2 linked regions of the Arabidopsis thaliana genome follow. The protein of the gene in region 1 interacts with the protein of each later gene in a pairwise test. Each region holds a gene or a part of one and is shown on either strand. Other genes may lie near its edges.

Region 1 (5,240 bases):
AAAAATATCGAAAAACTTAGAACAATAACCAAAAAAAAAAAGCAAAGCAAAAAAGAAACTCTCGCTATGTCTCTCTATCTCTCTATGTAAATGAAATGAAGGTTAGGAAGAGAAAATGATAGTTTTCTAATTTTCCTTTCCACTTTCTCGTTTTCTATATGTTGTGACTCCACTACACTAGAGAAGAAGGAAAACAAAACAGATTTTTATTTTGGTTTTCTTTTTCCCACTCTCGTGTATGAGATAAATAACTTAAAGAGTTATTAAATTAATACAACGATTTACATTATTACTTAGTGGAAACTGGAAAGGCTTTATGCGCATTGACATCATGCTACAACGCCCATAATTGTTGAAAAGATACACTGTATTTTAAAGTACTAAACCAAGCCTAATAAACCGGTTGCCACGATCCCAAATACTGTAATATCACTACATAATATATCTTAATCGTTAAAATGCCTATCTCGGCCCAAATAAAGTTTTGGAACATAAAGCCCAACAATAATTTAGGTCCTCAAGTCCATTTTTGTTACGACCCTAAAAGTTTTCCCTTGATGAAAGAGCAAAGATAAACCCTAGTTTGTAACTGAACAATTAGAATAAAGATTGTGATTATATGAAGTGATTATCAAACAAATGATTCAGAAATCGGAAACGAAGAAAGAATCAGAAGAACAACGATTTTCTAATTTCCTCTTTAAGCTTTAGAAAGACGAAACAGAACATAATGAAAGAGAAAAAACAGAGCTTTTCTTTTTTTGTTTCCTGCCGCAGGACTTGGTTTCAGTTTTCAGGTTGTGTAATGAAAGTAATCGCCATTGTGTCTGTTGTTCTCTGCAATGGGGCTGCTCACGGAGCTGTTGTTAGAGAGTGAACAAAATGTGGACTTTTGCAAAACCCCTGTAGGAGAAGATCCAAATGTTGGACTATTCGTTGTACTGTTTAGTACTTCACCTAGAGGACCTCCTAAGGAGTTTCCCCATGAGATTGGTATCCAAGTATTCACCTTTTTCACAGTAGGCTCGATTGTTGTTTCATCGGTTTGGATCGATAGGTCAAGCTCGCGGGATAGCCTGAGAGGCGAGAGTGTTGTTTTTTCTTGAGCATTGTTGTTGTTGTGTGTGGAGGAAGGGGATGATGATGCTATTGGAATTGACATTGAGAGCTGTGTCCAATCTGATGTCAGCTCTTCAGGCCAAGAATTGTGATTGTGATTCCCTGAATGCTTCTCTTGGTTGCTGCTGAAATCCAAGAACGATGATCCATAGGTCTTTGCGGTATTCGGGTTGAGTAACGAATCAGAGGATATGTGTCCAAACTCAAAAGGGTTGTTGTTGTTTCTGTGTTTCTGATGAATAACCGGAGATTCCTTGGGTTGTAAGTTGACGGTGGAAGGATATATCGAAACTCCTCTGTTTTGCAAGAGTCAGTAAGTGAGATATGAACTAACAATGAATATGCAGAGTATTAAAAATCTGTTTTCACCTGTTGTTAGGTAAAGATTCTGTAGAAGGATTGATATATTGACTTCCAATGGCGAGGCTGCGGTTGCTTGATGCACGGGCATTGCTTCTGTTAGTATTACCAGCGACAACAGGCTGTTGTGGTGTAGTAACCGCTTTGGATGCAGCAGCGGCGGTTTGGTTTTGGCCAGATTGGACTTCCACAGGCTTTCTTGAACGATGACGGCCTCTGTTGATGTGTCTTTCACAGTATTTCTGATCAGGAACGGCGTCTCTTGAGCACCGCCATTTCTTCCCATCTGTTCTGCGGCATCTCCCTGGCTCAGGGTCCATGTTACCGCCTGCGAAACCGAGATGGAAAGTTCCCCATCCGACTACACAAAACCGAACATAAACACTCATTAACCATTTATAACAAAATTCCCTATGAAAAATCCTAAAAGCAACCATTGTTGTAAAGACTTTTCAACCAACAAGACAAATCTTGAAAACCCTATGAGCAATGTTATGAAGGATTTAGCACCAAAATGACATAAAAGACTAGATAAAATCTGATTCTTGGATTAAGCAACCACACCACAAATGAGTTGATCAAAACCCCAAAACTTTCACAAACAAGTGATCGCTCAATGGAAAGTTATGTGCAACTAGAAATTGTGTTAAAGAGATGGAGCTTACAGGAACTAGGAGGCAAAGATCCGTAAGGATAAAAAGACTTCTTGATAGAGATGAGCAAACTAGAAGGAACAGGGACATTGGCTGTGATGTACTTATAGATCAACGCCTGTTGCTCTAACTCAGCCCATTGAGTCAATGTAAAAGGTCCTTTAACACCTGTGAAGTTCCCTTGCATGCTCATGTTCATCATCATTCCACCAGAACCATATCCTCCTGCATTCCACAGCAAAAATGTAAAAAATTTGATTATTTTACACAACCCATTTCACCAAAATCCAATCAATAAAGAGAAGACATTATCAAACCTGAGCTTCTAAAGTAAGAAGGTGGAGGAATCTGGTGAAGAAACGGCGAGAGAGAGTTCTTGTTATTACTGCTATTATCCAAACCGACATATTTACTGAAATCAAGAGCGTCTGGTTTATCTGAGAAGCTAAGCATTTGTTCTTGACGGCGAGAATCAGAGGAAAGAGGAGAAGCAGATCTCATGAGAGGAATGCCTTGGTGAAACGACATCGTTTTGCAATAAGCAGCTGCAACAGAAGAAGACAAGTTTTCTTCTTCTTCCGCTCTAGTTGTCGTTCTTGCTAGCTTCAAGCTTCGTTGCAAGCAATCCTCACCGATGAATCCGGATCTATCTTGTTTAGTTCCTATAAGCTCTTTTAGACCAAGTGACTCATTTTCATTACTAGTAACCGACCCAAGAACATGAACACCAATATCCATAAGAAGTAAGTAATATAAAAAGAAAAAGAAGGAAAAAAAGTTAGATAATGACTTGAGAGATAGTTGCCATGGGAGGAAGATAGCTAAAGATGAGAGAAGAGAGAGACAGAGGGAGAAGAACGAGGCTTACTTTTGATTTTCTTGAAAGAGATATATATTATTATGTGTTTTTAAAATAAAATGAAAATAGTTGTGGTGAAGCTTTGGGAGGAGACAAGAATGGTACCTAAAAACACAATCCGGATCTCGGACATGTTAGAACATATTTATCCAATGCTTTTTCATTAATTTTGCTTTTAGTTCTTCTTCTTTGTTTTGTAAAGTTTTCTTTGCTTGCTTTAAAGGTACAAACTTAGCTTCCAATTTGTTTCAAGTTGTGTAAATTTATGGTCCCAAATTAGTTGTATAATATGGTGGTAGTTTCTCTATAAGAAAACGTAGGCTATTTCTGTATTATTTGCAGTACATATTTCCCAATTTGTAGGCATTTTTCTTTATGGGGGTTATTATTTTAGATTTTAGTAATTTTCTTTTGTTGTGATATATGTGCATATAGGGAAAGCTAGCTGTAACATTGTTAAAAAAAAGGGAGAAACTAGCTGTAACCTGTGGAGTTATTAGATTATTTTTGTAATGTTCAAAAGGAAAAATATTAGTGGTTTTAGAAATATAGCAACATTTTTACTTATAGTAATAGTCTTAATTCATAGAGGAGGTGAATATATATTGATATATTTTGTAATTTGTAATGCCTGTTTTTACCAGAATTTGCAGAAGAAAACAAAGGGTATACTTGAAGTGAGATTTTTGGAATATTATACTATATACACATATATTCACACTTTTAGTGAGATTTTTAGTCTAGGAAACAAATAAAAGAATTGTCCTATTCATATAATAAATAATAGTATTGAGTGGAGTACCAAATATTTATCAAGATTCACGTGGTTCCAATGATATTTTTGGACCATCTTCTTGGTCGTCTCCCCGAGGATTTAAGTTACATATATCGGATGGGCCAATTCTATTCTTGAGTGATATTACATCAACGGTTATTGATCCATGTGTTCGATTACATATGTAATCAGTGCAAGTAAAAAGTAGTTTGGGATATAACTTTGCTGGATTTTTTTTTTTTTTCTTTTTTTTTCTTCACTGGATTTATTTTCTTTGTTCATTAAAATTGCTGGACTGATGCGGTTAGTAAGCGTTATTTGCTTTGACCATAAATTTAGTGACACTCCGATTTCAGTTATGCCTTCGGGTAATAATTTGCGAATTGTCTTTTATTTATCATAAAATTAATCTGATGGTTGGATCATTGGTATGTCATATAATAGAAACAGTAAAACCAATGAACAACAAAAGGATTAGATAATCTTTTTTTCACAATATAGTATGAACTTATGTGAATGATATATACAGACGTCGTACTCATGATTTTAACTTGAAAACCATTCAATATCATTCACTTCCAAACTTTGCTATTGAACTGTCCATCACAGTTTCTTTATAATTTTTGTATAATGTTGAAATATGAAAAAAAAAAAAAAAAAAAAAAACACTAAAACTATATCAGCAAATTGACTAGCTTGTGGAGCAAAGTGAATATAATAACAATGGAAAAAGATAAGAGTGTTACTACCAATACCATCCAACAAGAAACGTATATGTTAGTTAAAGCTTTGCGTAAATGTCCTAAAAAGAAACTAACTCACAAAAAGTCACATGTGGTGTTCATGCATCGATGATGTAAATAATTACCACTCCACATAATATTATGTAGTTAAATACGACATTTTGGTTTAATTTCATAATTACGTCAGATCTGATTTTCTTTTAGTCATGCTCCATTTTGTTCGTATTATTTTTTTCTCTTGTAACTTTAGGATTCGTAATATTATTGACGAGAGATTAAGTTATAGCAAGTTTTAACTTTTAAAGATTTTACTGTTTTGCAAAATCAATGGTTGATAGAAAACCCAAAGAAGTTAGCCAATGTACTAGCTAATAACATTGTTTTACATTAATTTTTGCGGGCTACCTTTTGTACGTTTCTTAGTCCCCTCTCTCTCGCATAGGTTTCGACCTATATCCCCTGCTTACAAAACCAATGACAATAAACAAAATCAAAGATAATAAAACCAATTATCTATGCAACCAAGGCATTTTTGGGAAAGGGATGCAGACTTTAAAATATCCGAATATTTTACACTTCTAGATAGTCTACAAATAAACAACGGTAAAATTATACGAAATTGTATATCTATACTATGTTTCATGGATCATAACATATGAAAATGTAGATGTGTTGTACATAGTTTACATTCTTTAGATATGATTTGTGTGATAACCAGTAACAGTATTTAT
Region 2 (4,754 bases), about 17 Mb from region 1:
ATATATCTATGTACTTCAGGTTAAGGATGTCGAGAGCTACATACATTATCGGTGCCCTTGCGGGATCTGCGGTAGTAGCTTACGTGTGTGACAAAGTTATTTCTGATGATAAGCTTTTTGGAGGCAAGTTTTAAACCTTATAAAGCTACTTATGATGTATCCAGAAAGCTAAATTTGGTTTGGTTTGTTTTGAACTCTCAGGTACTACACCAGGAACTATTACTAACAAGGAATGGGGTGCTGCGACTGAAGAGAGATTACAAGCATGGCCAAGAGTTGCTGGTCCTCCCGTCGTCATGAACCCTATCAGTCGCCAGAATTTCATCGTCAAGTCACGTCCTGAATAACTTTTGATGCCTTCTCGTGCATCGTTCTCATTCGTTATGGATTCATTTTCGAATATCTGCTCTTTTGTGTTTGATTTGAGGATCGGCTGATTGCTCTAGCTGGTTATAGTAATAATTTGTGTTGATGCGTAACACATTATTCGGATCAAGCTTTTCCCCGATGCATAACTTTTGTAAGGTTTGTTGATTTTGACGATAAATGAAATCGAGCCAAAAAGAAAAACTTCTAAGACATTATTGGTTTGTTTGGTTTGGAATTTTGTTATCGCTGATTCTGTAAACATTTTTAAAACTGTTACTTTTCATCTCAAGCCTTGGAATTAATTATCACACAAACCTGGAGGCAAACTATCAGGTAAACGTGATTCTAAACCCGGTTCATACACCAAATTGAACCGGTGACACTAATACCATACAACAACATTTAACATTGTACATGTGAATGTGAACCATTCCACATCCATCTAGGAACTGAAACTCAACTGTCTCAGAACCCTTTTAACAGAGACTAACTCATAAAATGACAAAACCTTTTTTTTATATCATCGTGAAGAAAGTAAAAATGAAAGGTAGAACCTAATTGATATCAACAAGAAGCATCACTTATTCTTCCTCTATTTCATTTTCCTTCAGTTTTTGCATCACCACCGCCATGTCTAGCGGCTGAGCCACCTTGCCCATCAGCTCCACTCTGGCTCATATTGGTCCCATCCGGTTTACCTCCTCCACTAGCATCGTTAGGACCCGCTTTTGGTAGAGAAAGAAGGTGAAAATCAGTAATGTGATAATAAGTTCCAAACTGCTGTAAAACCAAATATTACCATTGTTTGCGGCAAGAGCAGTTTCATGGTGGTGCATTTGATGTTGCAGTCCGTTGTTATTATTCAAACCCATTGGTCTAATCCCCATGTGCCCTTGCATAGCTTGTTGATGTAACTGTTGCTGCGGATCCAGAAACTGATGCGGGCTACCAAATTGCAATGGACCTCTAGGAGGGAAAATCCCAGGAGGTATTTGTTGAGCCATTCCCACAGCTTGATGTTGCTGCATGAAGTAGCTTGGTGGTGGCTGCATTGATGACGGATTAGGAGCCATCTACAGAAACCAAACACACACAAACTATAAGAACCAAAATGTTTTGTTTTTCAACTGATCAAAACAGAAACTTACTGCTTGGGGAGTCATGGCTCCTGATGTTAGTGTAGCTGCTGGTGGCTGAGGTTGAGCATCCGCAATTGCAGCGAGATACATCAAATTCTTCTGGAGAAGAGCTTGATACCTAAAAGAATCAAGCAAGAACCATGTTTTATTATTAATATTCTATTTACCATCAGTAAAGCTAACATAGCTCGGTCTTGGTATCGAGAATCCCACACTTACTGAGCACATTCTGCAAGTTTACCGAGGTTCTGATTTTCCAAGATCGCCATTATCAGCTTCTTGTTCTCATCAAGATACTGCAAGAAGCAGCAATAAGTGACTCACTGTGTCAACATGTCATCTTCACAATCTGATTTTAAGCTTTCAAATCTCATATGCATACAAATACTCTGTTTTCACTCAAAAAAAAACTCCAAACTCATGATTGTACATCCAATTCCAGTAACAAAAAAAAGTTAAAGCGGAAAACAATGACACTTTAAAACAAATCATACTCAAGAAGGAAAGTTCATTACAACAGTTTAAACTACTCAAAAACATCATTACACAACCAATTTCAAAGCTACGATAAACAGACATTATGACTAAACAACAGAAAGACAAAAAATATAGAAAGTAAAGTAGTAACCTTTTGGATCTGTTCGGTGGTGATATTATTGGTGGGCGGAAATGAAGGAAGAACCATCGGAATCATCTGTGGAGATTGCTGCATCTTTTATAATTCACCAATCAAAACTCTGAAACAGTGAAACCCTAAAGTTTCTTCTCACGATTATTACAAAACAATAATTCTGAGTGATAGAATTGGTTTAAGAGCCCAATGCAAAACAAACTGATGCAAAAATATTCAACAAACGAATATTTTGGATTATCCTTAAATTTAAGACTTTTGATTTGTTTGAATTTCGCCGACGAGGTTTCTGGGAAATCGTAGGACAAAAAAGTCCCCCAACCAATTAATTTGTCTCCCCCACCGAATGTACACGTGGCACCTTGTCTGATTTTTCGTCAGCTCTACGATAACCAAAAAAAGACAACATTTGTAGCTGTTATTATTTATTGGGCCTGTTAATGGGCCTTATAAAGAATTATGAAAGCTTCTGTGTCAAGAAGAAGGTTACTTTAAATCTGTATCAATATCAGCTCCACGACGGCGATTCGTCGTTGTCCTCCGAACCAAGCAAACTCCGATCCCTCACCGTGGCTCCGGATATTTTACGGCGGTTGTTCCCGGCTCGGACTCGAAGAATTGTCCGGATTCTCCCTTTGACCAGGCTGGAGATGAACCTTTTCCGGTTCTGCTCCGGTCTGAAAGTCCTCGGCTATTTCATGATCCTTCTTGTCGTCGCCGTCGTTGGTGTATCTTACTACGCCGTCGTAGTTAGCACATGGTGGCCGATCTTGATCCGCGGAGACCATGGAGCTTTATCCGCCCTCGCTGCCTTAATCATCTTTGTTTTCCATTTCCTGGTAATTTCCAAGTCTCATAATTTCAGATTAGGTTTTGTTTCTGGAATTGTAAGTCTAGGTTTTCTGCTACTTAACCCCTAAACCTTAAACTTAGGGATGTGGCATGAAACTTATGTAGCCAAGAGAATGAGAAATGCAATGTAGTTATGAAGCATGAAGCAGTGTAGATACATAATCATTGTTTAGACCATTGATTGTTAGTAAATGTTTAGGCTCCCTGAGTTTAGGTTTACAATTATACTTCTGATTTGCTTGGTTCTTTGCAGCTGATAATGCTGTTGTGGAGCTACTTCACAACAGTTTTTACAGACCCAGGTTCTGTTCCTGAGCATTTCAGAAGAGAAATGGGAGGTGGTGACAGTTTGGAGGCTGGTACTTCGACAGATCAAGGAGCTTTTGGCTCTTTAGGTTACTGTACCAAATGCCGGAATGTTAAGCCGCCTCGTTGCCATCATTGTTCTGTGTGTAAGGCGAAATCTGATTTGTTTATACTATGTTCTGCTTGTGTTTCTACTGATAGAGAAAGAAAGCTTTATTCGGTTCTTTGTTTCCTTATGTAGGTCAAAGATGTGTTCTTAAGATGGATCATCATTGTGTTTGGATTGTAAACTGTGTTGGAGCACGCAATTACAAGTTTTTCCTTCTCTTTCTGGTAAATATTCATTTCCATTGTAGTCTCTTATGGTTCTTAAAAGGTTTAAGCGAGCATTGGGATTATTTGATTTGCTGATTTCTTCACCCTCTTTTTTTAATTTGTAGTTCTATACTTTTCTTGAGACAATGTTGGATGTTATTGTCTTGCTTCCTAGTTTCATTGAATTCTTCAGCCAAGCTATAAAGCATTCTTCTTCTCCGGGTAAACTGGCCTCTCTCGTTCTGGCATTCGGTGAGTATAAACGGTTCTTTTTCTCGTTTTCCTTTTCCCAGAAAGTGCTTAGCTTTTTTCTGGGTCTCATTTTCCGTCTTTATGTTTCTTACAGATTCTATCCCCTTGATGCAGTTCTTAACTTTGCGTTCGTTCTCAGCCTTCTTTGTTTCGTAGTCATGCATATTTCTCTTCTCTCATCCAACACTACTTCAGTTGAGGTAAATCTTTTATGTTCTTGCTTTCACAAACAATCTAAGTCTTGAAAATATGAGTCTCTTCTCTGAATCATTGTCTTATTTTTTTAGGTTCATGAGAAAAATGGAGAAGTCAGATGGAAATATGACTTAGGAAAGAAGAAAAACTTCGAGCAGGTGAGATTTTATTGTTTTCATCATTCCATGGATTGTTAGTTAATTAAATATATAACTCTTTGTTTTCATCTTGTGAAGGTTTTTGGGAAGAAGAAGGCGTTTTGGCTCCTCCCATTGTACTCTAAAGACGATATCGATAACATAACTTCCCTTGAAGGCCTTGAATTTCCAACTTGTTCTGACATCGACCCTTGATTGAAAGTTGAAACAAAATCAATCAATCATATTCGAAACAGCCTTCAACTGCACTCCAATGTAGATAACTCTCTACTCAAAAAGAATTCTCATTGCCAATTGTTGTTGTATTATTGTAATTGATTTGATTCATTTCTTTGCTTCTTGTTGAAAGTCTAAGTTCGTTTGACATCTTCAGACTGTAATGTTATGTGATGAGACCCAGTGATAACTTGTTGTATAAGTAAACAACGTTGCACAAGGGCTAGGGAAAGCAAAAACACCAAATCTGATGGATAATTGATAAGAGTATTATTCAGAAGAGAAAAAACTAAAAAGTCTCATAATTTAAAGATCGAATCA

What was found.
Region 2: the proteins of GRF2 (region 1) and GIF3 interact in binary tests that used the Arabidopsis thaliana proteins (3 or more experiments, as listed by UniProt).

What each region holds. Positions count from the first base shown.
Region 1 is NC_003075.7:17,724,740-17,729,979, forward strand, and holds GRF2 (growth-regulating factor 2), read right to left. Parts: upstream 3,171-5,240; 5' UTR 2,871-3,170; coding exon 2,450-2,870; intron 2,358-2,449; coding exon 2,145-2,357; intron 1,841-2,144; coding exon 1,489-1,840; intron 1,416-1,488; coding exon 794-1,415; 3' UTR 598-793; downstream 1-597. UniProt on the Arabidopsis thaliana protein: Transcription activator that plays a role in the regulation of cell expansion in leaf and cotyledons tissues.
Region 2 is NC_003075.7:355,141-359,894, reverse strand, and holds GIF3 (GRF1-interacting factor 3), read right to left. Parts: upstream 2,551-4,754; 5' UTR 2,221-2,550; coding exon 2,137-2,220; intron 1,805-2,136; coding exon 1,728-1,804; intron 1,627-1,727; coding exon 1,518-1,626; intron 1,443-1,517; coding exon 1,169-1,442; coding exon of another isoform or gene 1,095-1,168; coding exon 967-1,094; 3' UTR 558-966; downstream 1-557. Other genes in the region: ATOZI1 (monopolar spindle protein (DUF1138)), read left to right, coding at 27-123, 202-347; AT4G00840 (DHHC-type zinc finger family protein), read left to right, coding at 2,790-2,978, 3,245-3,443, 3,539-3,630, 3,738-3,864, 3,979-4,064, 4,152-4,217, 4,296-4,412. UniProt on the Arabidopsis thaliana protein: Transcription coactivator that plays a role in the regulation of cell expansion in leaf and cotyledons tissues.